Linked DNA regions of Arabidopsis thaliana. The protein of the gene in region 3 interacts with the protein of the main gene of each other region in a pairwise test. Each region holds a gene or a part of one and is shown on either strand. Other genes may lie near its edges. The genes, in order: TOC64-V, AT2G19080 and APC2.

What was found.
Region 1: the proteins of APC2 (region 3) and TOC64-V interact in a two-hybrid assay, tested with the Arabidopsis thaliana proteins (one study listed by BioGRID).
Region 2: the proteins of APC2 (region 3) and AT2G19080 interact in a two-hybrid assay, tested with the Arabidopsis thaliana proteins (one study listed by BioGRID).

The regions. Positions count from the first base shown.
Region 1 is NC_003076.8:2,923,289-2,934,196, forward strand, and holds TOC64-V (translocon at the outer membrane of chloroplasts 64-V), read left to right. Parts: upstream 1-4,884; 5' UTR 4,885-5,027; coding exon 5,028-5,269; intron 5,270-5,473; coding exon 5,474-5,626; intron 5,627-5,715; coding exon 5,716-5,840; intron 5,841-5,930; coding exon 5,931-6,056; intron 6,057-6,164; coding exon 6,165-6,347; intron 6,348-6,430; coding exon 6,431-6,575; intron 6,576-6,758; coding exon 6,759-6,927; intron 6,928-7,098; coding exon 7,099-7,236; intron 7,237-7,344; coding exon 7,345-7,545; intron 7,546-7,655; coding exon 7,656-7,783; intron 7,784-7,862; coding exon 7,863-7,914; intron 7,915-8,168; coding exon 8,169-8,238; intron 8,239-8,382; coding exon 8,383-8,462; 3' UTR 8,463-8,733; downstream 8,734-10,908. Other genes in the region: EICBP.B (ethylene induced calmodulin binding protein), read left to right, coding at 1-45, 220-284, 421-495, 597-707, 1,209-1,604, 1,933-2,621, 2,782-3,364, 3,464-3,808 and 1 more; AT5G09430 (alpha/beta-Hydrolases superfamily protein), read left to right, coding at 8,874-9,530, 9,622-9,714, 9,807-9,874, 9,957-10,074. UniProt on the Arabidopsis thaliana protein: Chaperone receptor mediating Hsp90-dependent protein targeting to mitochondria.
Region 2 is NC_003071.7:8,261,150-8,270,440, reverse strand, and holds AT2G19080 (metaxin-like protein), read right to left. Parts: upstream 7,742-9,291; 5' UTR 7,624-7,741; coding exon 7,464-7,623; intron 6,910-7,463; coding exon 6,575-6,909; intron 6,473-6,574; coding exon 6,396-6,472; intron 6,308-6,395; coding exon 6,247-6,307; coding exon of another isoform or gene 6,169-6,246; exon of another isoform or gene 6,137-6,168; coding exon 5,992-6,136; intron 5,865-5,991; coding exon 5,695-5,864; 3' UTR 5,303-5,694; downstream 1-5,302. Other genes in the region: AT2G19090 (DUF630 family protein (DUF630 and DUF632)), read left to right, coding at 2,562-3,843, 3,929-4,143, 4,230-4,453, 4,540-5,263; SHT (spermidine hydroxycinnamoyl transferase), read left to right, coding at 8,483-9,291. UniProt on the Arabidopsis thaliana protein: Involved in transport of proteins into the mitochondrion.
Region 3 is NC_003076.8:20,748,662-20,758,660, reverse strand, and holds APC2 (Mitochondrial substrate carrier family protein), read right to left. Parts: upstream 5,622-9,999; 5' UTR 5,314-5,621; coding exon 4,875-5,313; intron 4,297-4,874; coding exon 4,060-4,296; intron 3,966-4,059; coding exon 3,414-3,965; intron 3,325-3,413; coding exon 3,234-3,324; intron 3,125-3,233; coding exon 2,947-3,124; 3' UTR 2,524-2,946; downstream 1-2,523. Other genes in the region: RHD2 (NADPH/respiratory burst oxidase protein D), read left to right, coding at 454-977, 1,068-1,177; SDHAF2 (succinate dehydrogenase assembly factor), read right to left, coding at 6,871-7,017, 7,112-7,180, 7,356-7,382, 7,450-7,576, 7,646-7,753, 7,846-7,961; AT5G51030 (NAD(P)-binding Rossmann-fold superfamily protein), read left to right, coding at 9,309-9,403, 9,741-9,999. UniProt on the Arabidopsis thaliana protein: Calcium-dependent mitochondrial carrier protein that catalyzes the import of ATP co-transported with metal divalent cations across the mitochondrial inner membrane in exchange for phosphate (Pi).

The DNA.
Region 1 (10,908 bases), about 18 Mb from region 3:
GCCCAACTAGCACATTGTCATCATTATGTGAAGATGCTGATACCGGTATTTCTTTCTCTATTATTTTGTATGTTTGGTACTTTGGTAACTTTTGTTTATAATATAGTTCTTTCCATGGAAGAATCATCGATTTTCATCCTACTTTGTGAGGTGTGATGATTTACATATCATCACATGCTCTTGGCTCTGTGTGTAATTTTCAACACCACCTTATATCAGTTTTGGTGCAGGGGATAGTCAACAAGCAAGTTCCGTCTTACGACCATCTCCTGAACCTCAAACTGGTACTTCTCAAATAAGGGAGAAGCAGGAAGTTAGCATATTAAATTCTTACTGTTAGAGCTCTGTTTTGGGTACTCACCTCTCTTTCTGGTTTCCTGTCTGCATTTTTGTTAAGAAGGCCTTTGTTTTCCTGTCTAGGAAATCGCTATGGTTGGACACCTGCTCCTGGCATGCGTAATGTTTCACAGGTTCATGGGAACAGAGTCAGAGAAAGTGATTCCCAGAGATTAGTTGATGTCAGAGCTTTGGATACCGTTGGGAATTCGCTGACAAGATTTCATGATCAGCCTTATTGTAATAATTTGTTGACTCAGATGCAGCCTTCTAATACTGACTCAATGCTGGTGGAAGAAAATTCAGAAAAAGGTGGGCGGTTAAAGGCAGAGCATATCAGAAATCCTCTTCAAACTCAATTTAATTGGCAGGTAGTGTACTGTGTACGCATGCTTTTTGTAATTATTTATGAAAGAGCAATGCATAGATATTATTAGTGAAAGTATAGAAAAAAATGTCCATGGATGTTAAGAATTATACAAAAGAGAGAGATGTGTTGTGAAGAAAAAGCTTAGAAATGTGTGACGATGTCATAGCATAGCAAACTTTGGAGCTAAATTAGATTTATGTATGTTTTACATGCCTTTATCAGCAATTTTCTCAGGGTTGATATTTCTGTCATTGACGCATTGTTAAGCTAGTTGGTTGAAGTTGAATTTATCTGTCGGTAATTACTCTGAAAAGGTGCATTCGATGCCTTAATCAGTTTTACCTTGACCTCAGATAAGAAGATGAAAAACATCTAATACCTACTTTTGTTATATGGCTCCTTCCCCTCTATAGATTGTAAAGTTCTTTATTTAAGCTCGCATTATTATTATCAGGAAGATTTGTTTTGAAGTGCTCTGATTTCGAAATACTTATCTATGTAGGATGACACTGATCTGGCGTTATTTGAGCAAAGTGCACAAGATAATTTTGAGACATTTTCCAGTCTCCTTGGCAGTGAAAATCTGCAACCTTTTGGAATTAGTTATCAAGCTCCTCCTTCAAATATGGACTCTGAATATATGCCTGTAATGAAAATATTGCGAAGAAGCGAAGATAGTTTGAAAAAAGTCGATAGTTTTTCTAAGTGGGCTATTAAAGAACTTGGGGAGATGGAGGATTTGCAGATGCAGTCTTCACGTGGAGATATTGCATGGACCACTGTTGAATGTGAAACTGCAGCAGCTGGGATCTCCTTGAGCCCTTCTCTCTCTGAGGATCAGCGTTTCACCATAGTTGATTTTTGGCCAAAAAGTGCAAAGACAGACGCAGAAGTTGAGGTAATTTCACTGTACATATTTGGAAAAATTGATTGGTGATGTACCATTCTATTAAGATGGTTAAGTTTGTTTATCCATTTTCCAGTTTCCAAATAATTTTTGTGGTTAAGACTTTGAAGCAATTGCAAAATATTTCGTGCTATATTTTTAGCTGGGTGCTGGGGTTTAAAGTCCCTTATTGATGTTCATGCAGCAGTTTCATTTTGATGATCCTGCTTTCTCATTATTTTTATTAGTAATGCTTTTTCCGTTTTGCTGATTTCGCTCTCTGTTTTGGTTGTTTTGTTGTGGTGACTAATTTCTTTTTTATGTATCACTCTATTTGCAGGTCATGGTTATTGGGACATTTCTACTTAGTCCGCAAGAAGTAACTAAATATAATTGGTCATGCATGTTTGGTGAAGTGGAAGTTCCTGCTGAGATTTTAGTAGATGGTGTTCTTTGCTGTCATGCTCCACCGCATACAGCTGGTCACGTCCCCTTTTATGTTACATGTTCCAACAGATTTGCTTGCAGTGAAGTACGAGAATTTGATTTCCTTTCTGGTTCTACCCAAAAAATCAATGCTACAGATGTTTATGGTACCTATACAAATGAAGCATCACTTCAGTTGCGGTTTGAGAAGATGCTTGCTCACAGGGATTTTGTTCACGAACACCATATATTCGAAGATGTTGGGGACAAACGAAGACAAATCAGTAAAATTATGTTGCTAAAGGAGGAGAAAGAGTATCTCCTTCCAGGGACATATCAGAGAGACTCAACCAAACAAGAACCAAAAGGACAGCTTTTTAGGGAACTGTTTGAAGAAGAACTATATATATGGCTCATACATAAAGTGACTGAAGAGGGTAAAGGTCCAAACATATTGGATGAAGATGGACAGGGTATTTTACACTTTGTTGCAGCGCTTGGGTATGACTGGGCCATTAAACCGGTGTTAGCAGCAGGAGTTAACATTAACTTCCGTGATGCCAATGGCTGGTCTGCCCTTCATTGGGCTGCGTTTAGTGGCAGGTATGGACCTCTATCTCACATATCTTCAATTTCCTTTAATCATAATATTATTATTTGAGATTTTGCATTTCGTTTAAGATGCTCACATTGATGATGCTTTAACTCTATTATTTGGTCAACATTGCCATATCAAACTAACTCCTTTTCCTGTTAACTATAGGGAGGAAACTGTCGCTGTGCTTGTCTCTCTAGGTGCTGATGCTGGGGCATTAACGGATCCATCTCCAGAGCTTCCATTGGGTAAAACAGCAGCTGATTTGGCTTACGCAAATGGACACAGGGGAATTTCGGGATTTCTTGCAGAGTCTTCCTTAACTAGTTATCTTGAAAAGCTAACAGTGGACTCAAAGGAAAATAGCCCTGCCAACTCTTGTGGAGAAAAAGCTGTTCAAACAGTCTCTGAGCGAACCGCTGCTCCTATGACCTATGGCGATGTACCAGAGAAACTTTCCTTGAAGGATTCACTTACTGCTGTCCGTAATGCTACGCAAGCGGCTGATCGTCTCCATCAAGTATTCAGGATGCAATCATTCCAACGGAAACAGCTGTGTGATATTGGCGATGATGAAAAGATTGATATCTCCGACCAGTTAGCTGTTTCTTTTGCAGCTTCTAAAACTAAGAATCCAGGACAGGGTGATGTCTCTCTTAGTTGTGCTGCTACCCATATCCAGAAGAAATATCGTGGTTGGAAGAAGAGAAAAGAGTTTCTTTTAATCCGACAAAGAATCGTTAAAATTCAGGTTTGCCTTTCATTGAGTTTTTTTTTCTCCCCCTTATTTCTTTGCATAAGTCTTTTGTCTGGTTTCTCATTGCTGGAATCATATTACATTTACCTTTAGGCTCATGTGAGAGGACATCAGGTCCGGAAACAATACCGAACAGTCATCTGGTCTGTGGGATTACTCGAGAAAATCATTTTGCGTTGGAGACGCAAAGGTAATGGTTTGAGAGGGTTTAAACGCAATGCAGTCGCCAAAACCGTGGAACCGGAACCGCCTGTATCAGCTATATGTCCTAGGATCCCACAGGAAGATGAGTATGATTATCTTAAAGAGGGAAGAAAACAAACAGAGGAAAGGCTACAGAAGGCTCTGACTCGTGTTAAGTCGATGGTTCAATACCCAGAAGCACGGGATCAATACCGTAGACTCCTAACGGTTGTTGAGGGCTTCCGTGAAAATGAGGTACCCAAGACCCATAACATAATCAGTTAATCATATTTTGTTGAGCATTCTTGTGATAAATTGTTGTTGCAGGCTTCATCAAGTGCATCTATAAACAATAAAGAAGAAGAAGCAGTCAACTGTGAAGAAGACGATTTTATTGACATTGAGTCTCTTTTGAACGATGACACATTGATGATGTCTATTTCTCCTTGATTTTACTTTCTGACTCGTATTCATTTTTCCTTCTTTTACTTTCTAACTTTATTTCTTCTCTGTAAATACCATAGTTGATATTTACCGCTTAATTTATTACTTGGATTGAAATAGAATTATTCACTATTTTCTTTCGTCTTAACAATATATAACTTTTTTATTTGTTCATTTGGCTTTTCTCTGCTAATATTATATAGCCAAGTGTTGGATTACTCTGATTCATATTTGTATCCGTATTGAATATTCTTCTCTTTATTAGCTGTTTTCTGCAATTTATACATCATATTTGTTTTGGTCAAACTCATACATCAGTCATATTGTTATAGTTTAAATTTGAATGGTAGTATGATATTGAGCTAACTTTTAAAGGTTATAAATCCGGGTCGACATGCCATTTTATCTACCAAATTTGGATTGGTAAACCATTAAAGCTATAAAAAAAACTTAACTTGGATTTTCCTATAATCTGAAGATAAAATTGGATTGACGGGCAAGGCTACAGAAAATGGAAACTTAACAATAAATTATAGCAGTATATATTTTAATTTTTTCATTATTATATTGAGGTTTTTAGTGGCTTGACTAGCTTAAAATCTATTTTTCCACGAGTGGAAAAGTTCATTAAGAGAAGAAATGGCCAACAAAAGAAATTATAAACCTAAATCAATTTGTACAAGCTTATTAAAAAAAATTGAAACGAGTAATTCTAATAAATAAAGGAATTAAAATTAAAATTTCCATTTTTCTTAATTTAATTTTTTTTTTTAATTTCTTTATCGATTTCGTAAAGACAATTATTAATCAATCAAAAAGAGAAGATTCGCCTTGGGCAGACGGACTTGAGTTCACGGCTGGCCAAGTCATCACTCGTAATTAAAAGGGTTTAGACACAGTGCGCACGATAGCATCTGTGTTTGCTTCTTCCAAATCTCTCTCCTATTTTTCTTTCCCCTTTTCTCTCTTAAACCCTCCTAAAACCCTTGTCTCTCTCTCTCTCTCTCTCTCTTTCTCGTGAGATCGCGTTATGTCGAATACGCTTTCTTTGATTCAAAGCAATGCCTCGAATCCCAAAGTTTGGGTAGTGATCGGCGTGACGGTGGCCGGGATCGTGATTCTGGCGGAGACCCGGAAGCGGCGGATTAGAGCCCTTAGAGAAGAAGACTTTGGTGCTTTCTTAGATCGTTTCGAGCTTCTTCCTTTCCCTCCGCCTCCTCCTCCTGCTGCTAAACAATCTCTCTCTGGTCTTACCTTCTCCATCTCCGACGCGTATGTATCTCTCTCTCTCTCTCTCTCTCTCTCTCTCTTAAAAATCATAACCTATTTTCAAATTTGTTTTTTCCTGCTTTATATAATGATCTCGCTTATAAAGTTCAAAACTTTTGTTTGGTTTAATTGAGATTTTGACTTGCTTAGACGAAGTCATGTTGCAATGAAATGAATAAAGTTATATCGGGGTTAATGGTTTGACAGGTTCGATGTTAAGGATTATATCACAGGATTTGGTTGTCCACAATGGAAGAAGACTCATGAGGCTGCTGAGAAAACTGCTGTGGTTGTCACGACGCTCTTGAAAAATGGAGCTACTTGTGTTGGCAAGACTATAATGGATGAGCTGGGTTTTGGGTATCTCTCCACTCCTACCATTCTGCATATGAAATGACCTTTCGGTAGTTGGTTTGAAGAAAGTTTGTGTTTTGAATGTGATTTTACAGGATTATTGGAGAAAACAAGCACTATGGAACTCCTATTAATCCATTGATGCCAGATAATGTTCCTGGAGGATGTTCCAGTGGCTCAGCAGTTTCTGTTGGGGCTGAACTCGTTGACTTTTCACTTGGTATTGTTAATCTCTTCGTTTTCTCTTGGTAATGTGTTTCTTGGATTACGTTTGGTTCTTTATGCTAATCAAAAGATGCTTGATTTGCAGGGATTGATACCACTGGTGGTGTTAGAGTCCCAGCAGCCTTTTGTGGTATTCTTGGTTTTCGACCATCTCAGGGGACTGTTTCTTCAGTTGGAGTTTTGCCCAATTCTCAGAGCCTAGAGACTGTTGGTACGTTACATTCCCCTCCCTTTTAGTGTTTTTAGTGTAGTTTCAATGGTACATGCTACTCTAGGTGTTTGCCTTCCTGATTATTGAACTCATTGATTCGTTCTGTAGGATGGTTTGCCTCTGATCCATCCGTTTTGTGTCAAGTTGGACATGCCTTACTAAATCTGAGTGCAGTAACACATAGAAGGCAAAGATCTTTAATCTTTGCTGATGATTTATTCGAGCTCTCTGACATTCCTAAGCAAAAGTCGGTGCAAGTTGTCAGAAAGGCAATCGAGAATCTATCTGGCTGTAAGTTTGCAGCTGTATTGTTTCCTTCTCTTTGCCCTTCTCCAGATTCATATCTTATGTCTCTTGACCACTGGCTCATGCAGACAAGACTCCAAAACATGTTAACGTTGGCCAATATGTCGCTTCAAATGTACCAAGTCTTGCGGAATTCTGTGAGCAATCTGGGAAATCCCAAAATTCAGCATCAACTTTAAGGGCTCTTTCATCTGTGATGTTGGCTATACAAAGGTATTTAAGAAGCTCACACTTCTTGAAATTTTCACTGCATCAATACTTTTTTCTCTCTCTCGTTCCTTTTAAACGGGTGCAATAAAAGATTGTTGTTATTCCCTCTTTGCTGGAGGTTACTATTTTCTTCTTAAGTTGTATTATATGCAAATATCGAAGAAGAAAGGATTTTCTTTTTACCAGGCATGAGTTCAAAACAAATCATGAAGAATGGTGGCAAACATGCAAATCGTTTCTAGGGCCAAGATTTTCCAATGATGTTGTTACAGCTCTGAAGAGCAAAAACGAGAGCATTAAATCCCTCTACAGAGTGAAAAATGAGATGCGGGCCACCATTCAAAGCCTTTTAAAGGTAAACTCGATTTTTGGAAATTTAAAATTTTCACAGCCATTAGTGTCTTGAGGACATTTTGCCACCAAAACACTGAAGTCTGAAGAGATTGAATTATTAACTTTCATTTTTGCGGCTTCTTTTTAGTTCTATGGTATTATGATTAACCATAGATCGGTATCTTATTACTAGGAAGATGGAATTCTGGTAATCCCCACAGTTGCTGATCCCCCTCCAAGGCTTAACACAAAGAGAAATAAATCTTTGAATGAGTTTCTTGATCGTACTTATGCACTCTCCTGCATTGCAAGCATGTCTGGATGTTGTCAGGTATATTTCCATCTCCTCTTTCTCATTCAATGGTTGGGGAACATTCTTGTTGCCTTTTCCTTACTCTTCAGTCTTTAGTCATGACACAAATATATACATATTCTTCAGGTTACAATTCCTTTAGGGGAACATGGTGATCGTCCAATATCCGTGTCGCTTCTTACTTACTATGGAGGTGATAAGTTCCTTCTCGATACAACTCTCGATGTATATGCATCCCTTCAAGACCAAGCCAAACTTGCATCCAACTTAGCTCCAGTGTCTGACACCAATGGTAACATGGAGGCTTCTGAAGTTATGAAAGAAAAGGTAAAACTATCTCTTTGAGTTTGACAAATAGTATATTTGGTTCTGATCCATGATATGCTACTGGAGTTGGAATGTTCTCAAAGTTAACAGTGGATAAAATGTAATTCCAGGGCAATGCTGCATACAAGGGGAAACAATGGAATAAGGCGGTAAACTTTTATACAGAAGCTATAAAATTGAATGGAGCAAATGCTACTTATTATTGCAATAGAGCTGCAGCTTTCTTGGAACTTTGCTGGTAATTGTTCTCTTCATATCTTTCATTCTGATCTGAATATAATTTATTATGATTTTCTGATCTGAGAGTTTGTTTATAGCTTCCAACAAGCCGAACAAGATTGTACCAAGGCCATGTTGATCGATAAGAAGGTGAAAACTTGATTAGCTGCCTTATTTCTCCATCCCTCGTAGTTTGTTTTGTTACATTGTGTTTTTAACATGGTTTTGTGTTTAAGTACACTTGAGCTGGAACAAAACTATTCACTTTTTATTTATTTGATTTGCGGCGTAATACCTTTGTACTATGACTATCTAGTTTCATTATCACTCAGATCACTCACTATAGACACAATGACGCATTATTTGGAAGCTTTGATTCTTATAATAGTTATTTGTTTCTACAGAATGTGAAGGCATATTTGAGACGAGGGACTGCTAGAGAATCACTTGTACGGTACAAGGAAGCTGCTGCAGGTATGATGATTAAACTACTCTGAGATTGTAATTTTATCACATTGGAGAAACTTGTTAAAAGATAAAATTCATCTAGCTATCCAGATGAGTTACTCTCTCTAGTAGGGTATTGGAGCGTAACATTATGGTTGATCATCTCTGCAGATTTCAGGCACGCATTGGTCCTTGAACCACAGAACAAGACGGCAAAGGTTGCTGAGAAGAGACTCCGAAAACACATATGAGTTAAAAAGGATTATTACTCGATTTCTCTTGTTCACCAATCTATCTTTTCACTTATCTAAAACCCTAAAAAGGAAAGGTTTTGCTCCGGTTTCAACAGACTAATAATTTAGTGGTTTTGTGACATGTGTACAGATTGGGATGAAAACTTCTACCTCTAATTACTTGATCTGAAAAGTTTTATGGGGTCCTTTTAGCTTCTTTGTTTTCTTAACGGTCTTTTACGTAAATTACAATTTCCCCCAAGTCCAATACTGTAATTCCTTAAATTACACGGAGGGACCCATAAATGACACGTTTACAATCAATTTCTCGACAAATAACTGAATTCGTTGTTTGTTTTTTTCCTCTTCGTCATCGTCACGCCTCCGTATCTTCTCCTCTGTTTCATTTTTGAATTATTCGAATCAAAAATGTTTGATCATATGAAACTGCTGCGATGCTTCAGCTTCACGGCGTCGCGAGATTGGTTATTCCGGCAATCATTCGCAAACGCCGGTCTACGTTCCGTAACGACAGATCTCTCCCACGGCAATTCAATCGCATCAACAGCTATGCATTGTTGGATTCCTAAATCCCCGAATCGATCTAAACCTAATCTCCTCCTCCTCCACGGATTCGGCGCCAACGCAATGTGGCAATACGGAGAACATCTCCGAGCTTTCACCGGCCGATTCAACGTCTACGTTCCCGATCTCCTCTTCTTCGGGTTATCATCCACATCGGAACCAAACCGAACCGAATCTTTCCAGGCTCGGTGTCTGATGAGGTTAATGGAAGCGCACGGAGTCCAGAGGATGAACATCGTCGGGATTAGTTACGGTGGATTCGTTGGGTATAGTTTAGCGGCGCAGTTTCCGGAGAACGTTGAGAAGCTTGTGCTGTGCTGCGCAGGGGTTTGTTTGGAGGAGAAAGATATGGAGGACGGATTGTTTAAGGTGCCGAATCTAGAAGAAGCTACCGGAATTTTGATTCCTCAGACGCCGGAAAAGCTTAAGGAACTCATAAGATTCTCTTTCGTTAAACCAATCAAAGGTGTTCCTTCGTTTTTTCTCTGGGATTTTATCGATGTAAGTTTTTTCCTTTATAATAATGTCTTTGTTTGTTTGTTTGTTGATAAATGTTGGAGTTTTGAGAAATGTTGTTCAAAATGTTGAAAAGGTAATGTGTACGGAGTTTGTAGAGGAGAAGAGAGATTTGATCAAATCAATACTCAAAGATAGGAGACTTTCTGATCTTCCTAGGATCAAACAGGTACAAACCTTTATTCGGATTTTAATTTGCTTATGTAAATTTCGCAGTTCCTATAACATTGTGTGTATGTGTGTGTTTATTGGTTGAATTAGAAATCGTTGATCATATGGGGAGAAGAAGATCAAATATTTCCACTGGAACTAGGTTACAGATTAAAAAGGTAAACAACAACATGTATATTAACTATAGAGATTACCCTCTGTATTTTTTTATGTGTTTATAATAATTGTATGGTGAAACAGACATATAGGAGAGAGTGCAGAGATAGTGGTGATCAAGAAAGCAGGACATGCTGTGAATTTGGAGAAGTCCAAGGAATTTGTCAAGCATTTGAAATCTTTTCTCATTGACTCTTTGTGAATTACTTTTTCCTATAATATCAACCATTTTTATTTTTACACTATTCTTCAATATATAGGTGATCTTTCTTTCTTGTCTAAAAGCTTAAAACATCAACTGTCTATTAGGAAATTATGTTAGCTGTTAGATCACAAATACGATTATTTTATCCACGCCAGATAGAACTTGACAACTGCAGAGCCTGAGTTATACAATCTACAACAAAAATATCCAATAAGGCAATAACAATTAAAAGGCCTATTTTAGCTGGCCTTTGTTTTGATTGGTGGGCTTTGATAAAGGAAGTTAGAATATTGAAAACAAAAAAAAAAAATTGAGTTTAAATAAAATTATATACAGTTCTTTGCATGGTCCAATTTTATGTGGCTCCCCTATCGACTATCGTCTAAATTTGTTGTACAATGTGAAGGTCGAATTATATATATTGAGAAGATTCCAATAATATGGACTTCCGATACATGACAAGAGAACTGGGACCAATCTGTGTATATAAGAGAGATTGGTTTAGTCAACATGAGAAGTTGGTCGGTCGGTCGGTCGGTCGGTCGGCGGCAATACAAGGCTAACATATACACCTCACAATATTTTATTGATTAGTTAAGCCAAACTTATCCTTAACTTATAATGATTGAATCGTTAGGAATTTTATTTTGTTAAAAGAAGAGATGTATTTTACTAATTAATGTTGTGACTTACCTAATCTACTTAGTGGCACTTCTATTCTATACGAGCTGTGGATTATTGCCTTTTCTTATCAATTTTTGGCTCATCCGTTGGTGATATTATTATGTAACTAAGAAAATATATAGGGTTTAGTTGAAAGTGGTATATATT
Region 2 (9,291 bases), on a different chromosome or scaffold from region 3:
AATCAAGTAGAAAACGTCATAGCTACATCAAAGGCGAACCGCAAGGAGAAAGCAGATGATGTGGTTTGGCGAGGAAGAAATGACATTTATAAACCACAGTTCTCTACACGAGATACTTGGAACAATATTCGAACCACTGCGACCAAGGTTACATGGTACAAAGGAGTATGGTTTTATCAAGCGACTCCAAAATTTTCTTTCTGTGTTTGGCTTGCAGCTTTGGATCGCCTCTCTACGGGAGATCGAATGGCTAATTGGAAAGGGGTTTCTTCAGGATCATGTGTCTTCTGCAATCATCCCACAAAATCTCGTGATCACCTCTTTTTTAACTGCCCCTATTCTTCTGAAGTCTGGACAGTCACAGCAAAGAACATTCTAACGACGCGTTTCACAACGGATTGGCACCTCCTCCTTAACACGGTTTCTAGTTTACAGCAAAATCGAGTTGAAAACTTTCTTGTGCGTTATGCCTTTCAAGCTTCGGTTTACTCAATCTGGAGCGAACGCAACAGAAGACGACATGGGAACACTCTGCATTCAGCAACTCGGCTAATTGGTTGGATCGACAAACAAGTGAGAAACATTCTTTCATCAATTCGAATAAAGGGAGATAGACACTACGATGCGGGACTCCAAATGTGGTTTGATACAAGAGCCTAATCACTTCTAGTTTCTAAATTTTCATTTCAATTCTAAACTTTCAGCTTCATTTCAAACAAGTTGCACATGTTGTAAAAAAAGATAATTTTTCTTTTGAATATAATTTAACATTATATTAAAAAAAAATAAAAAAAATTCAATCATTCTAAATGTAATAAATTACAGTTTCAAGAAACTACGTTACGGGCTAAGTCTGCAATTTAACTTTACGACAATTATGTCCATTGTGCTAGATATGACTGTAAATGCTTGGCCCAATAAAATAGATTGCGGAGAAATTCTAGTTCTCAATATTAATGGCAGTTTTGTGGTTACGTGAAATTCCCAGGGACAAAAAAAAGAAGAAGTACGTATCAGGTATCGAGGCATTTTCATGATATCTTTTACAAATGTGGGTCCAGATCCTGCCTTTTACTTTACAGGCCGGTCCTTTCTTTTTGTTGCTTTTCCTAAATTCGTCCAACGTATTTTCCCACTGGCGACGCTTATTAAGTTACTAAATTGCCCATGCTTAACTACTCATATAGATTCTCCGAATTGATTCCATTTTACACAAAACAATCCACCATGCAAATGTAATTTATATAACTCGACAAAAATATAGATTAGTAAAACTAAAAAAAAAACTTATGTAATTTAGAAGTTACCAAGTAAATCACTATCGGTAATATGATATACTCCCTTTATTTATTTTTGTTTGATTTTCTAGAAAAAATTATTATTCTAAAAAATTGATTTTTTAGATTTTCAATGCAATTCTTATTAATTATAATTGATAAATTGTAAATTTTAATAAAAATTATTAAATACTATTAGTTTAGAGTTATTAAAAATTGTAAATCACAAAGTATAATACATTTAAAATCAATATTTAATATGTTTTCTTAATATTTGTATATTTTCTAGAAAAAGAAAAGAAAACAGAGAGTATAATTTAGTTGTTTACACTATTTGCATCGTTATGTCATTATATTAATATTCATGTTATTATAAGATTGAAATTAATATCAGTATAACAATTGAGGTATGAAAATAAATGTAATGTAAACATCAATAGACTATGCCATATATAAACTCATAAACATAAAACTTAGTACAGAAAAAAGACAAGAAATATTCAGAGTGGCAAAATCGAAAATAAACATGAAAAGCGAGGATAGAAACAAAATAAGCTTCGTGTCCCGTCTTTCTCTTAGCCAATATATATTCTTCGTAGCTTTATTAAAATTTAGTTTAGCTCTACCATTCACTTTATTTATTAATTAATCATCTCTTTTAATTTCGATCAATACACACGATTTTAGTTCTATCAAATGTTTTTTTTTGGTTTTGTTTTATGTAGCCTCTGTCTTCTTCTTCTTCAACTTCTTGATTGCGAGTGAGTCTTGACTTCTTTCTTTCATTCTCTCTCCTTCAAAATCCGACAGTAATTTTGACCGTTGTTTTCTCCAACGTCTCTCTCTCTCTCTACTGTGTATCCCTCACGCTCCTCCAGTCTCTTTTCTTTTGACTCATTATTAGGTTTTTTCTTCTTCTTCTTTGTCTTCTCTCTCTCTTTCTTCAATAACTTCTTTTCTGGCTTTGCTCTTTACTTTCCTTTTGACATTTTCACAACACCAAATCCAAGATTTTACACCATTTCTCATCTGGGTTTCTGTTATTTCTGAGTACAATCTCACCCTTTAATAGAAAACAAGCAAAATCTCTTCAAGGGTTTTAAGGACTAAAGAGCTTTGTCTTGTATATTAAGCAAAGAATCTTCTTATTGTCTTTTTCTCAGTTAATGCGAGTTCAGACATAGTTATTATGTCTTTGTTTTGTTCTGTTCTCAGTTGTTTCATAGCTTTTGTATGAGTGTCTTGAGCTCTGGATTTGAGCTTAGGAAAGAAGAGTAGAGAGAAATGGGATGTTCTCATTCCAAGTTAGATGATGAAGAAGCAGTTCAGATCTGTAAAGACAGGAAACGTTTCATCAAACAAGCTATTGAACATAGAACTAAGTTTGCTTCTGGTCACATTGCTTATATTCACTCTCTTAGAAAAGTCTCTGATGCTCTCCATGACTTTATCCTCCAAGGAGACAACAACAATGAGTTTGTTCCTACTCTCTGTCAAGACTCATTCGTCACTCCGGTCAAGAGAATGCCACAGAGACGTCGTCGAAGCAGCCGTAGTAATAGCGGTGAGTTCATCTCCATTTCGCCTTCTTCGATTCCTCCGAAAATGATTCAAGGTAGGCCAAGATCGAATGTGAAAGCGAATTATTTGATGGCTAATAGAAGTAGACCGGTTAGAGTCGAACAGAGATCTCCTGAAACGTTTAGAGTTGAGACATTTTCTCCACCTAGTAGTAGTAACCAATATGGTGAATCAGATGGTTTCTTTGGAATGAATATGAATATGAATACTTCTGCGTCTACTTCATCTTCGTTTTGGAATCCGTTGAGCTCTCCTGAGCAAAGGTTAAGTAGTCATAACATTCCTCCTCCTTCACCGCAGAATTCGCAGTGGGATTTCTTCTGGAATCCGTTTTCTTCGTTGGATTATTATGGATACAATAGTTATGACCGAGGAAGTGTTGATAGTAGGAGTGGTATAGATGATGAGATTAGAGGATTGAGACGTGTTAGAGAGGAAGAAGGGATTCCTGATTTGGAAGAAGATGATGAACCTCATAAACCTGAACCTGTCGTCAATGTGCGGTTTCAGAATCATAATCCGAATCCGAAAGCAACGGAAGAGAATAGAGGTAAAGTTGATAAGAGTTGTTGCAATGAGGAAGTTAAAGTTGAAGATGTTGATGAGGATGAAGACGAGGATGGAGATGAGGATGATGATGAGTTTACGGATAGCGGGTGTGAGACTGAGAATGAGGGAGACGAGAAATGCGTTGCTCCTCCAACGCAAGAACAGCGAAAAGCTGAGGTGTGTAGAGGAGGAGAAGCTACAGGGAATGTTGTTGGAGTAGGTAAGGTTCAAGAGATGAAGAATGTTGTTGGTGTTAGAGATGATGCAAAGACGACGGGGTTCACGGTATATGTGAACCGGAGACCAACTAGCATGGCTGAAGTAATCAAAGATCTTGAAGATCAGTTCACAACAATTTGTGATGCGGCTAAGGAAGTCTCGGGGCTATTGGAAGCTGGTAGAGCTCAATACACATCATCCTTTAATGACCATAGTGGTGAGTTTATGAACAATGTTGCAATATTTCTCTGTTTAATGACTTCACTTATAAATATGAAGTCCTTTTTTATGTGTGTTTGTAGCCAGGAAAATGCTGAATCCAGTAGCGTTGTTCCGCTCGGGTTCATCAAGATCTTCCTCGTCAAGATTCTTGATCACTTCTTCTGGTGGTTCAAGAGAGAGCGGGTCTGAAAGCAGAAGCGATGTTTCAGATGAATCTTGCATGATTTCAGGTAGCCACCAAACAACATTGGACAGACTTTTCGCGTGGGAGAAGAAACTCTATGATGAAGTTAGGGTAAGTAACAAGAGATATAAGCAACTAGTGACTACATATTAATCTCTGTTGGTTATAACTGAGCCGTCTTTGTGGTGTTGTAACAGTCTGGAGAACGTGTTCGAAGAGCATATGAAAAGAAATGTATGCAGCTGAGGAATCAGGACGTGAAAGGAGATGATCCGCTTGCGGTTGATAAAACTAGGGCTACTATCAGAGATCTAGATACACAGATCAAGGTGTCAATACACTCCATTGAATCCATCTCCAAAAGAATCGAGACTCTTCGTGACCAAGAACTGTTGCCTCAGCTTCTTGAGCTCGTTGAAGGGTAACAACACCAACAACTTCTTTTTCCTTCTCTTCGGTTTCACTTTTAAGCCTCAGACTGACAAATGGTAATCATGATCATAACAGATTAACAAGGATGTGGAAAGTAATGGCGGAAAGTCACCAGATACAGAAACGAACACTAGACGAAGCCAAACTGTTACTTGCAGGCACACCGGTTTCAAAGCGTCACAAGAAGAGACAACCTCCAATAATGCCAGAGGCTATTAACTCTCAAAGATTAGCTCAATCTGCTTTGAATCTTGAAGCTCAGCTTCGAAACTGGAGAACCTGTTTTGAATTCTGGATCACCTCTCAGAGATCCTACATGAAAGCATTATCTGGTTGGCTTCTAAGATGTTTCAGATGTGATCCTGACCCCGAAAAAGTTAGATTATCCTCATGTCTTCACCCGATATACCGAGTCTGCATTCAATGGTCAAGGTTGCTTAACAGCTTGAATGAAAAACCAGTTTTGGACAAACTTGAGTTCTTTGCCTCAGGGATGGGTTCAATATATGCAAGGCAAGTTAGGGAAGATCCAAACTGGAGTGGAAGCGGGTCAAGGAGATACTCCGGGTCAGAAAGCATGGAGCTTGTAGTGGCTGATAAGGGAGAAGAAGATGTTGTGATGACTGCTGAGAAACTTGCAGAGGTTGCTGTGAAGGTTCTCTGCCATGGAATGTCTGTTGCAGTTAGTTCACTAGCTGAGTTTTCCATCAACTCGGCCGATGAACACTCGAAGCTTGTTAGCCAACCAGCAGACGATGCGTCGGAGCAGCAGCCCCCGGATGTAAATTTCAATTCCTAGTACTTGTTATTAATTTTGTTTGGTTTTAGAGAGTTTAGAATTAGGTAGGTTTTTGGCATCATCTTTTGCTATCAGAAGATAGTTTCTTAGATGGATGAGATTTGTATTATTTAGTAAGACAAATAGAGTTAGTTCAGTTGATTCTGAGGATGTGTACCAAGAGTCTTCTAATGTTCCTCGGTATTTTATCCGGTGAATCGGTTCCCATGATGTGCCTTAAAAACCAATGAAATTTATATAAAAGCCAAAAGCTCTCCTTCAGAACGAAAAGTCGAAAACCATTATAATGTGACTAAATCTCACATCTGTATCCTCTCCATAACTAAGAGTTCAAGAAGAAAAAAGCGTAGAGATTACTGGTTATGTTTTTATCTTAGTCTCAGAGAGTTCGCCTGAGAGTTACCGGTCCATTTAATAAGAAAAGCTTTAGTTTAGTCATCTTCATCTTCATACTCCAGTTCATCAGAACTACCTCCTCCCATCACTGATACGTAAATGACGACAGCTAGAAACTGAGCAGCTAGAAAGAACCTTGCTCTTTTCTTAAATTTTTTCTCCTCTTCGGTCTTTTCTACCTTTGGTTTGCTCTTTGGCTTCGAACCTGAACAAAAGATGAAATTCACTTCCTTCACAGGCTTAAACATATCCAATGAATGTTGCATATATGACAGATATATAATATGATGAAATATATATGATATGGACGTTGAAGGTTAGATGTGTCTTACTCTTTCTTGGAAATGAGGAAGGGAATGAGTGAAGTGGAGGTGAAGGAGATGAAGAAGAGGCTTCAAGGAACTCTGACTTAAGTTTCTCAGCATATCGCACAAGATTACTATGTTCCAGAAGTTTGCACCGAAGCACTGATGTAACCTGATCATGCACCATTAAGAAAACTACTTCATCTAAATAGTTCTAAGGCTAAATTCAACCTGATAAACCCATAACTGAGAAATATATTGGTGAAATTTAAAGCTGCTCACTGGTAACGCTTGGATTATAAAAAGTATGTGCGAGAGTAAGAAAGCATCCAAACTCGATGGCCTGTGGGAAGAGAATAATATAAACATTGTCAATCTTTTACAAAAAGGCTTAAGGGAAAGAATCCAGTTCCGGAATGTGATTGCAATACCTGTCTTCAAAGAGAAACTTCTGCTCACCTAACCTAGTCGACAAAGCTTCATATGCCTCACTTGCTCTCTTGTATATCTGTTCACATTTAAGACTATGAACTTTAATAACTAGTTCAAATGCTCACAAATATAAACCACAGGTCTTCTAAAGTAACAACAAAACTTAAACAAACCCGACCTGTTTTTCTCTTTGCTCTGCGTTCTCTTTGGTGATTCCTAAACGGTTCTTTGCCAAGTATGTCTGCTTATAAAACAGGACCTTGCTGATCACCCAAGGAAGATCTGAATAGTAGATTTTCGATGTAGATATCCCCTCGGTACCAACCCATATCTCATAGGTAAGCGCTTCTTCTAGCCAAGACACAATAAGAGCCTTCAAAGATAAATAATCCGAAAGAGACTGTAGCTGAGAGTCCAGATTAACAATCCCATCTTTCTTCAGTTTTTCAATTACTCCTCCATCTTCATTGTTATATGCAACATATGTATCACTTTCAAAGTACGGCAGTTCATCTATATTAAAAACAAATGATTAACATTGTCAATACACAAGCTTATAAATATTGAATGCACAAATTTGTAAATCCGTGAACAAAGGATTACGAAGTGTCTAGAGATATTATCAAACATAACATAGAAATTCTGAAGATATTGTTAATATACAAACTCAATAGCTAAATCAAACAACTAATTTCTTCTGAACAAGTATGAAACATCATCATTCTCTTCGAATTAACAATTACGATAACGAGGAATTCAACCAAAGCTATAACAAGAAATTATGATGAACACTTCCTATCCAGAAAAATTCACCAATGCATATATACACCTCAAAATTGAATTACTATTGCCTAAAAACCCTATCTAAACTCTGATTAACCTAAGAGCAGGATCTTAATAGTACGAATTCGAATCCAGAACTCAAAATTATCTTGTCTAGGATTCGAATCTCAATTCAAGCTAATAGAATTAACAATGTTCACTTCCAACAGATACACATCACGCAACCAAAACCTTAATCTAACAACAACCAAAATACGAAGCGAGGAATCAAAACAGAAGCAAACCTGAATCAGGGAAGGTTGAATTGAACGCAAGTTCAAAAGGTAGCTGGGCTAATTTCAGGTATATATAAGCAGGAAGACAATTAGGGCAAGCTGTTGGGAGATCGAAGGAAGGCTTCCTTGCCACCAAAGTATAAACATTCGTCTCTTGATCGCCTTCCATTATAGTGACTCGTATGTGTGAGAGCTCTGGTCAAAAGAAGAAGAAGTACTCAAGTAAGTTCGATCGTCGATAGAGAGAGATGGGGCGAGAAGAGAAGATCCAGTCGAGTCCGGGTCTGGGTTAAGGTTTAGTCGGTCGGGTTTAAAACTAGGGTTTATTAATACGATAACTCATTTTGGGCTTTAAAAGGCCCACAAATTACCCATTAAGACAAAACTACTGGAGGAGGAGACTCGGAGAAAGTGGAATTGTTTTCTCCTTTTTGTTAGTTTGTAAAAACTAAAATTACTGTGTAACAGTGTAAAATACATCATCCACATTTTTTTTCTTCAAGATGACTTTATAAAAATAAACTCAACTTAAATTCAGAAGATATAATCAAAACTGGCGATGTGGGCTTTTGAATTTAATGCTATGAAGTTAGTATTTTGGATTTACCATTTCTTTTTAGAGTTTATGATATATACTTAAGGATTTAGTTTAGAATTTATACTTTGGAATATACTTGCATAAAAAAGTATAACACATTCCCTAATAGTGATATGAATTTTATGTTATATGTTCTTACCTCGTTTTTTTTCATTTTTTCGTGGAAATATATATTCATCCACAATGTGAACAAAATAGAGAAGAAGGGTAATACGCGTGATCATATACAACCAACAAAACTAAACCTTATTCTCACTTCCACTAATTAAGCTGCTTCGAAGGAAACAAACTAAACCACGAGAAAAACATTTTTGAATTTTGACTAACAGCAAGAAAAATTCGTTGAATCCATATGATTCTGTGTACTATATAAACATTACTTTAGCACGAACTTCAAAAAGAGAAGAGAAAAAGAAAGGGGGTTTGTGTTATGGCTCCCATAACTTTTAGAAAATCTTACACTATAGTACCGGCCGAACCAACGTGGAGCGGTAGGTTTCCCTTAGCCGAGTGGGATCAAGTTGGTACAATTACTCACATTCCCACCCTTTACTTTTACGACAAGCCATCTGAATCTTTCCAAGGCAATGTAGTCGAAATCCTAAAAACCTCGTTGAGCCGTGTGCTAGTCCATTTTTACCCTATGGCTGGCCGTCTCAGATGGCTCCCTCGGGGACGGTTCGAGCTCAATTGTAACGCCGAGGGAGTGGAATTCATTGAAGCGGAATCTGAGGGGAAGCTTTCGGATTTCAAAGACTTCTCTCCTACGCCGGAATTCGAGAATCTTATGCCGCAAGTAAACTATAAAAACCCTATCGAAACGATTCCTCTATTTTTAGCTCAGGTAACCAAATTCAAATGCGGTGGAATAAGCCTTAGCGTCAACGTTTCCCACGCGATCGTAGATGGCCAAAGCGCGCTTCACTTAATATCGGAATGGGGAAGACTCGCGCGCGGTGAACCGTTAGAAACCGTTCCATTTCTAGACCGGAAAATCCTCTGGGCTGGTGAACCGCTCCCACCGTTTGTGTCGCCCCCAAAGTTCGACCACAAAGAGTTTGATCAGCCACCGTTTTTGATCGGAGAAACGGACAATGTAGAAGAGAGAAAGAAGAAAACGATTGTGGTGATGCTACCACTGAGCACATCTCAGCTGCAGAAGCTACGAAGTAAAGCCAACGGAAGCAAACACTCTGACCCGGCGAAAGGGTTTACAAGGTACGAGACCGTCACCGGACA
Region 3 (9,999 bases):
GATTATTCTATTCATTTATCCAATTTGAAACTGTTTTTGGTTTTATAGGTTTTATCTTTGGGTGCCATTAATAGTGTTAACTATCTAGCTAGCAATACAAAATGTAATCATTACTTATAGTTTGTACGTACCTAATATCTTATTTGGAGTCGCAAGAGATACTTAATTAACATGGCAATAACTAGAAAGATGGTATGTGTATATACGTAATTAAGAAATAGTCTTACATTATTTGATCCAACTAACGCTGCAAGATGTATCAGATTTTAAAAGATGTTAGTTAATAGTTAATATGACGAGTTATGTTTAGAACTTTTACTTATACCAAAATAGATGTTTAAATTTTTACTTAATATTTGGCTACAACCAAGATATTTTGTTATCTGAACAATTCCATCTACGTTTAGTCTCTTTCTTTTGCTTTGGCTAATGGCAATGACACTGATTCCACAGCTTCCCGAAAGTCTTGATTGATGGTCCATATGGTGCACCAGCACAAGACTACAAGAAGTACGAGGTGGTTCTACTAGTTGGTCTCGGGATTGGAGCCACACCAATGATCAGTATCGTCAAAGACATTGTTAATAACATCAAGGCCAAGGAACAAGCCCAACTAAACCGAATGGAGAATGGAACAAGCGAACCACAACGAAGTAAGAAAGAGAGTTTCAGGACCCGTAGAGCTTACTTCTATTGGGTTACGCGTGAGCAAGGCTCTTTCGATTGGTTCAAGAACATAATGAACGAAGTCGCGGAACGAGATGCCAACCGCGTCATCGAAATGCATAACTATTGTACAAGTGTCTATGAAGAAGGTGACGCTCGTTCCGCACTTATACATATGCTTCAATCACTAAACCATGCAAAGAACGGCGTCGACATTGTCTCTGGAACAAGAGTTATGTCCCATTTCGCTAAACCTAATTGGAGAAATGTTTACAAGCGTATAGCTATGGATCATCCTAACACCAAAGTTGGTAAGCTCACATCTCTCTTCTCTACTATGTTCGCGGTTATATAGAAATGAAAAGTGATTGGATTAAAGAATCTTGATTTTGTATGTGCAGGAGTGTTTTACTGTGGAGCACCAGCATTGACAAAGGAGCTAAGGCATCTAGCTTTAGATTTCACCCACAAAACAAGCACCAGATTCTCCTTCCACAAAGAGAATTTCTAAAGGACACACAGAGTTAAAAGGCCTAAACAAAAAAAATAAAAGAAAGAAGCATGAGTTATTATGTTTTTCGTAATTTTACTTCCCTTACTATTTTTTAAAACATTAATATTTGTATACATATATATATATATATATATACTCTCTTGACTGTAGATTTCTTTGTATGCTTTTTTTTATTGTATGATTAATTTGTTTTTTCTTTTGAGAAAAACGGTGCAAAAAGTAGCAAAGGTTGTAGGAGTGTTGGCTTAAGCTCAAAGACCTAATAAAAATTTTTGTTTTGTTATTTGTCATCTCTCACAGTCTCGAAATTTTAGAGTATCTCCATCCATAAAAAACCTAAATATTTTCTCAAACAAAAAACATTAAATTTTTATTTTAATGAAAAAATTAAACCAATTGAAAGAAGAGAAATGTCATAATTGCATGTAAATAGTATCTCATAGTTTCTTAAATGAGAAACTTAAGGGCATCTCCATCAAGGAAAAACCCAAAAAGTTTATCAAACAAAAAAAATATTAGTATTTTATTAAATTTTTATTATATGATTAAATTTTTATTTTCATGAAAAAATTGAACCAATTGAGAGGAGAGAAATATAATGATGGCTTGTAGAGAGTATCTCATAGTTTCTCACTTGAGAAACTTTCTACACTCTCTCTTTTCTTTTTATTATTTTAATTATTTTAATAATGAGAAACTTTGTTGAGATACTCTCAGTGGAAATGATCTTATAGATCTCTTTTACGTATTCAATTTGTACTTTAAATTAATTTGAGAATAGAAATATGTAGAGCTTGAAAACAAAAAAATAACAAAGAAGAACGATTTAGACCTTAAGCATTTTTTTATATTAGATAATATGATGTTCGTAGTCGTAGATGGTTACAGTAGTTTATTTGCATAATGTTATGAATACAATTGTTTTCTTTTAAAAACGTTACGATTTTTCTTTCCAAATTTACCATTAGCAAATTATTCAACGTTCCTTTCAGACTCTCGGCAATGCGGAGACGTCTAAATTATTTCATCTAAAAGTGAAAGAAATTGTCTAAAATTGAAAAAGAAAAAGCGTGAACGGCAGGATTCGAACCTGCGCGGGCAAAGCCCACATGATTTCTAGTCATGCCCGATAACCACTCCGGCACGTCCACTTGCTGATATGACAGCATACATACATTTATTAATACTACACCTTAGTTGAAATTATTTATTTTCCTTCACTCATATGCTCTGTTTTTACTATTGTGGTTCTCGCTCTGTTTATTATGGTGTTTGACCTTCGTATTGTCAAATAAATGATGTTGAGATCGGGGGAATAAACCTCACACATGTTTCAATTGGATCGGAATACAAATGAACTCAGATTCTAGAAAAATCCAAACACATTAAAAGATAAAGCCAAATAAAGATTAAAAACATAAAAGAAGATTTGAAGCAAAACATCATATAGCTTCATTTTCTGTCTCTTGTCTACCTCTCAGACTGTCAGACATACTCAACGTTCAACTTCATAACACCAGCTCTCATTATAAGGGCCGGGTCCATATGCACACAACATTGAACAAGCGTACATAACAGTTGGATAATACACAGCAGTGGCCTTAAATATTTAAAGTTTGGAGAAGCGAGAATCTTATTATAGTATTTATCTCATACAAATGATGTTTAGAAGAATTATGTATGTTAAAAATAACCTACTTTTATAGGTTCTCTTTTTATTATTCTCGTTCTTTTCGTCAATATCAAAATGAAGTGAAGCCACTAAATCAATCAAGTTCTAGACTCTTTTTCATTGCTTCGTAAACCATATATGTAATGCTTGCAGCAGGAACTACCTTTAGAAGGTTCGGTAGTAGCCCTTTGTAGAGTGCTCTGTAACCTTCTTCACTTATTGTTCTCCTGAATACTCCTGACATCGAGGTTCTTGCTCGTTCCGCTTGCATTCTGTGTGACAGTGAGATATATTTCATTTATGCATTTTATGATTGTGTATGGAGTTTGTGTGTTGAGGAAGACAGAGGGAGCAGGTGAAGCATATGGGCTATGGAATTACCTTGTTCTCACAACCTGCAAAGGATAGACACAGGTTGCTCCAAGAGCTCCTGAGATTGTTCCACATCCTAGTTGCACGAGCGGACCTGGTTCTGAAGACCAAACCCAAGCCAAGTTTTATGAGTCCTACATTCAAGCAGTATCAGACAGAATGGGAAACTATAGCAGTTAAGAGATTTACCAGCGTCTTGAAGAATATATGTCCTGGACAAGTCCTTTAATGTCTCATATGCAGCAAGGTCAATACCCGCGTAAGGAATAATCCCAAGAAGAGAAGGGAAAAGACCTTTGTAGAAGGCACGTGGACCCTCATGAACCAATATATCTTTGGTGAGCGTTCCAAGCCTGGGAACAGCAACACCTGCTTGGCTCGTGTAAGTCTGCAACCGAGTTTTCACAAGATCTAAAGGGTATATAGAGGCTTGAGCTACTGCACCAGCCATTCCTCCAGCAAAAAGTCTAACTGTTGTGCCTATATCCGCTTTGTCTTCACCCATGTTTTCACCGATAGCGTTTTTGAAAAGCTCATATGCATAGAACTTGATGGCACTCTCTGGTGCTACCTTCACAATATTCAACCCGTTACCTCGAAAAAAACCTCTAACTCCACCCTGCTTCCATATCAACTTTATGGCTTCTCGGATTCTAGCATCGGTTTTCTGAATTTGCAAAAGAACTTTTAAGCGATCTAGAGGTGCAGTAGCAGTCCTAGAAGCTGCACCAGCTATGCCACCTGTAACAGCACTATTATGTTGTCAGAAAACTTATAACCAAATCTTTTTACGTTGTTCGGAGAAAATAAGCTCCAAATAATTAAGGAAGTCCACCTGCGATGAAATAGTTACTCCTCTTTATATGTTTGCTGATGCCTTCTGGAATTACAGCTTGTTCTCCAATATCTACAAGACATACTCTTTCCCAGTGATGGTATATATTTTCAATGGTAGCTTCGTGAGGGTACAGCAAAAGAAAATCTCTCCATTCTTCAAACATAATGATTCCATCATTGTCCTTGTCAACATGTTCCACAAAACGAGCAAGCTCCTCATCTTTTATCTCAATCCCTGCAAAATAGAAACTGTTGTGGCTTATAGGACGAAAACAGAGCATAAACAAAAGTTGCAATTGACACTATTTCTACACATAGAACTCATATAAAATTTGAACATATGAATGAAAATTAACAAGCCTTATTCTTAAAATCAAAGAACTGAAAGGTATTAACTATGGTACACCAAATGAAACCAATACACATCCATAGGAAGTCTTCATACTTAAACTTCATAGATGTTTTAGATAATTATATACAGTCTCAAAGAACCAAAAAACAACAAACAAATTCGTCTATTATTTATTTAACCACTCAGATTCACAAGAGTCTCATCTTCACTAATGATCATACATATATAGCAAAAAGATTAGCACAATCTTATCAACCTACACTGCAAGTAAACGCCTAACTATCACTCTCATTCTCCACTTTCCAAGATTGCATCCCCAAAGATTGTACAAACTTCAAACTTCTCACCAAGTCACAATCTAAGACATTCCTGCTATAGACTTATAATGATCTAACAACAATATGATCTGCAAGTTTGATTCTTGACCAAAATAAGCTCAGAGCATGTAAATGAAACTATACCAGCTTTAACGAGTGAATCCCAAAGTCCCTCAGGAGAAATACAACCATTATGCTCAACATCAATAGCTTGAAAGATTCTATACAGCTCAAGCTCCTTATCATCCATATATCTACGAAACTCATGATAATCCACACGCCCATCTCTATTCGCATCACAAACCCTAAACAACTCCTTAGCGTATTTATACCCACTTGGGATTTGAAGCGCACATAACCCCTTCTCAATTTGAGCACAATCTAAGTAACCAACATTCTCAGAATCAAAGAAACTGAATAAGCTCCTGATTCGTAAATCTCGCTCTTCTCTTGTCTCACGGAGAGCTAAGAGAACATGATCAATTGAAACGGGTCCGGGTTTCTTAACCGGGTTGCAACAATTTTGTTTCGACGACTTCGTAGCTTCCATTTTCGTTGGTAAACCAACATGAGTCGTCGACATGATGATCAACAACAAATAGGAATAAAAATCAGAATTTGAGATTCTGGGTTTGTGATCATGTCATCCTCTTATTCAGATCTGCAATGAATCTCCAGAAACGGTCACCATTTAAAAACGCGTAACGTAGAGAGAATCTCAAACCCGTTATTCGAGTGAAGAAAGATGAATCTAATCGAATACAGAGATTGAAGAAAGAAAGGATCTAAATTTGAAGAAGAGATTGGGAAATTGTGCTGATGCAGGTGAAGAAGAAGAAGAAGAAGAAGAAGAAGAAGAAGAAGAAGAAGAAGAAGAAGAAGAAGAAGAAGGGGCCAATCTCTCCAATGGTGCGGAGTTGAGATTCTCATGGGATATTCTTCCATTTAAATTTATTATTATATGATTTCATAACTTTTTATTATAATACTTTTTATTTTTACTTAAAAAATCAAAAAACCTTTATTCGTATAACATATTTTATTATTTTCTGAAAGGTCTTTTTTGGTGATTGTTGACACTTGACAGGTCCAAAGAGACTAGATTTTTCTTGACACACCTCCCGGAGCATATGCGTAAATGTGCAATATCTCATGTTTAAAATAAAGGTTTTCTCAATGTGTAGTCAAAAGACTTTGATACGATATTACTTTTCATTTTTAACAAACTCTAAAACTTCACAATGGGTAAGTGTTGTTGTTGATATCGCCTCCTCCATACTTAGAAAGACCAAAAGAGAGCTTTTGATAGCTATTGAGGCACAAAATGATAATTATTTGATAAAAATGTTGGTTATAGCTGTAAAAGGGTAAGAGATCCCTTGGAGAAATAATATATTGGAAGGAAATAAAGTGAAAGAATGTAACTTCTAACAACAAAACCATACATAACTAAGATATGAGTTTGCATATTTCTACAACGAGATAGCTCTATAAACATCATATTCTAGTTATTTCAATTGCTCGATGTATGAGGATGTAAATCATTACTTACAGAAGAATGATTTATAGATTTATACACAAAGTTATCGTTGAAGAAAGAATGATGTAAATAAGTAAAAGAAGATGGTCCTAGAGCATCTTGTCATGGGCAATATGAAAACCCACATCTTCGTCAGGTATGTTGTGTTGTTCGAAGTTACATTTTTTTGCATCCTGATATATTATTTCTATACTAGCTTATGGATGTGTATTAGTTACATATTTAACACCCTCATTTCTGTGTATTTAATTTTCATATGAACTTTAACAAGCTTTTAAAAATGACCAAATTCAATCTTGGTTTGGTGACTGTGACAAATGTAAACCATAATATCTTTTGACAGATATCTTACCATCTTATCTCTTTAAATTTGGACAACATTTTATCCAAAACTAGGCAAAATCTAGTAACACCAAATATTAGCTTGGAAACTTCAACAAACAAGACACAACACTGTAATTATCTCAACGCCATGGACCTTCTTCACGGCCTGGTTCTTTATTAATACAATAGTAAAGTAATGGTTGCTACTACTTGGTATCTATTTTCATATCATAACTTATTTTCACTTTGATACTTTTTGAAAAGAGGAGTTTATGTTTACTGATTCCCTGAAATGGGAGCATCACGGCCTCTCTTGAAATCGTCCCATCCTCTGACCCAGGGCTGTCCAGCCGCTGCACGAGTCTCTGGCGCTGCATGCTTGTTCAGATTCTTCATGACTTTCTCGTGTAACGCCGAGAACACCTTTAACATCACAACAAGGATTGTTTTAATCACTGAAGTAAACAAAAGACGATATACTGTTTAAACGTAGACTCGATTAAGAGATTGTGATTACCGGATTTGAACTCACTGCTTCCGGAGGCTGTTCCTGTTCAGTTAGCCATTTCCAGAGATCAGGGTTTTCCTGCATAGAACAAAAAAAGATTGAATGCAATAATCTAACAAATTCCTGATTACACCTTTTGACGTCACTATGAACATAATAAAGTTTTCACCAACCAAATTACTTGTATGGATCATTTCGAGATTAGATCACATCACAGAAACAACCTCAATCTGGTTAAACAACTCCTCCATACAAGTAATTTGGTAGCTTCAGATTCTACCTAAACATGCAAATATTCATATACATAAAGATAATTTTTACTGATAAGAAGAGACAATGAAACATACCAAATTGAGGACATGAATTAGGGATTTAACACCATTTTCGTCCATGGAATTAACATTCTCCTCAACCCAATTCCCCAAAACAAGATCAAGTTCCAAAAACCCTCTTTGCTTGCTCCTATACAACAATCTATCACCAAAACCCTAACAATCAATCACCAACATTTGAAACAAATCGAATCCAAAATTATAACCATACCTGTTGATCGTTCTTCTCTTATTCTCTTCGTTAGAGAGATCAATATCGAAATTCTGGGCAGACGCAGTGTTCTCACAGAAGAATCTCGCCCCCAAATCAACTCCATTCCTAGAAAAAATATCAATCCCACAATTTTTTTTTCAGGCGTGTTCACGAATACACAGATCACTATTATTACGGTGGAGAGAAAGTTAAAGTACCGGAATATAATAGGATATGACCGGTTAGCGGCGGCAGGAATGATAGAGCTCCGGCCAACCACGGCGGTGGAGCGAATGATCCGGTGAACGTTGATCAGAGCTTTTCGGGTAGCCATTTTTTGTTTTGTTTTCTCTCTCTCTTTTCGGCAGGAAAGTGTTGTTCTGTAATGAAAGTGGGTACTTATGGACCCATTAATGGGCCTATACTTGTCGTGGCCTTCTCTTGATCACATATGATTATAACTAATTTTTATTCTTTTTGGCTTAGATATGTACAACAGTACAAATTGATATGACGAGCCGAAAGTAGACATAAAATCTTGAGGAATAGAGAACTACATATTCTTTTAGATGATTTGATTGTTGATTCAATATTATGCCAGAGTTAAAAACTGTAGTAGGATATTTAGTTTAATTGTTTTTTGTCAATTGTTTTTAGGGTTGACTAATTGCAACTAATAAAATTATATGTATTTTTGGATTTATTCTTAAAACTATGTTTCTAATTGAATCGATCAGTAAATAGACAATATTTTCTATTTATCCAGAATTTAACCAAACTTACTCGATTTTAACTATATTTTAATCTAATATTAATCCCAAAAATATGTGAAAGAAAAAATATCTTATCTTATCTATTCAAAATATATTTATTTACTTTTGATAAAAATAATAAATATAACATAATTTTACCTATAAAAAATAATATACCAAAAATAAATATACCACAATTAAAAAAAGTTTAGTTGATAAAAATAATTAGTATATGGAATTAATAGTGTTTGGCAAAAAAAGATATTAGAATTAAATATATAATAAATAAGAAAAATTAGAATAATTGTGGATATGACACATTGAAACTAATTAATTTCTTCATTATATATATCTAAACCAGAATAAGAACGTTATCTTAGCTGTTATATGAGAGATTGTGAGCCTTGAGCTATATACCGAAAATGTCCCAAATAAATTTTATCAAAATGTGAGAGGATGCAACGTGACATGCATGTGGTCATGTGGATCATAGATTCGTAGTGAGAGTGTGTAACACGAGAGACTCTTAAATAAGATTGTTTTCTCAATTTTAAACCGCCACAAAACCAAATGGTCGAATTATTATTTTTTTTTGTTAAGAAATGGTCGAATTATTAATAGGAACTAAAACAGAATGAACAAAACTTTGGTTCGTATTGAGAGCCCACACCCTAGCTAGGCCCCAGCTAATTTATGTTCCCATAACAGATGCTATAACTAAAAATAGGAATCAGATGAATTTGAAATGAGAGGCCACAAAAAAATTACGCAGAAAGTGGGGGATTGCACCTTTTGACCCACAAAAAGGATGAGAAAATTATGTGAGAGGGAGATGAGAACGACGACGAAGCTCTGTGTTCTTTCTTGCCTCCTCTTATCGTGAAAATAAACATACTTAGGATCGTAGAAGAGAGAAAATAAGAAGAAAGATGGTAGGAAGCAAAGAAAAATCGAAAGAGAAACGAGATAAGAGACTCCAAGAGATCTCCCTCCTTCGTACTATTCCCTATTCTGATCACCAGAGGTATCAATATTCCCATTCTAAATTTTTATGTCTTCATATCTATGAAATTTTGATTATAATAAATGTTTGTATATATCCCTTACTCAGTAGGAAGAATTACATTTAGGTCTAGTCAAAACATATAAACTAGTTTACTTGGTACAAGCTTATCGTCCACGAGATGCAATTATGAAATTCTGTGTTCCATCGATATCTCAAACTGAAAACAATTTTGTTGGACGTTTAAATAAGTTTTTGGTTTCTTATATATGAGATTCATTCGATCTTTTTTTTTTGTTGTCTTGCTGATAACTAAGTGTCATATTGGTTTTTATTTCTTGAATGGGGGATTGTTTAGGTGGTGGACCTCTGAAACCGTGGCGGTGGTAACAGGTGCGAATAGAGGAATAGGATTTGAGATGGTGAGACAATTGGCTGGACATGGACTAACAGTTATTCTAACATCAAGAGACGAGAATGTAGGCGTCGAAGCCGCCAAGATCCTTCAAGAAGGTGGATTCAATGTTGATTTCCACCGCCTCGATATCTTGGACTCTTCCTCAATCCAAGAGTTTTGCGAATGGATTAAAGAAAAATATGGATTTATTGATGTTTTA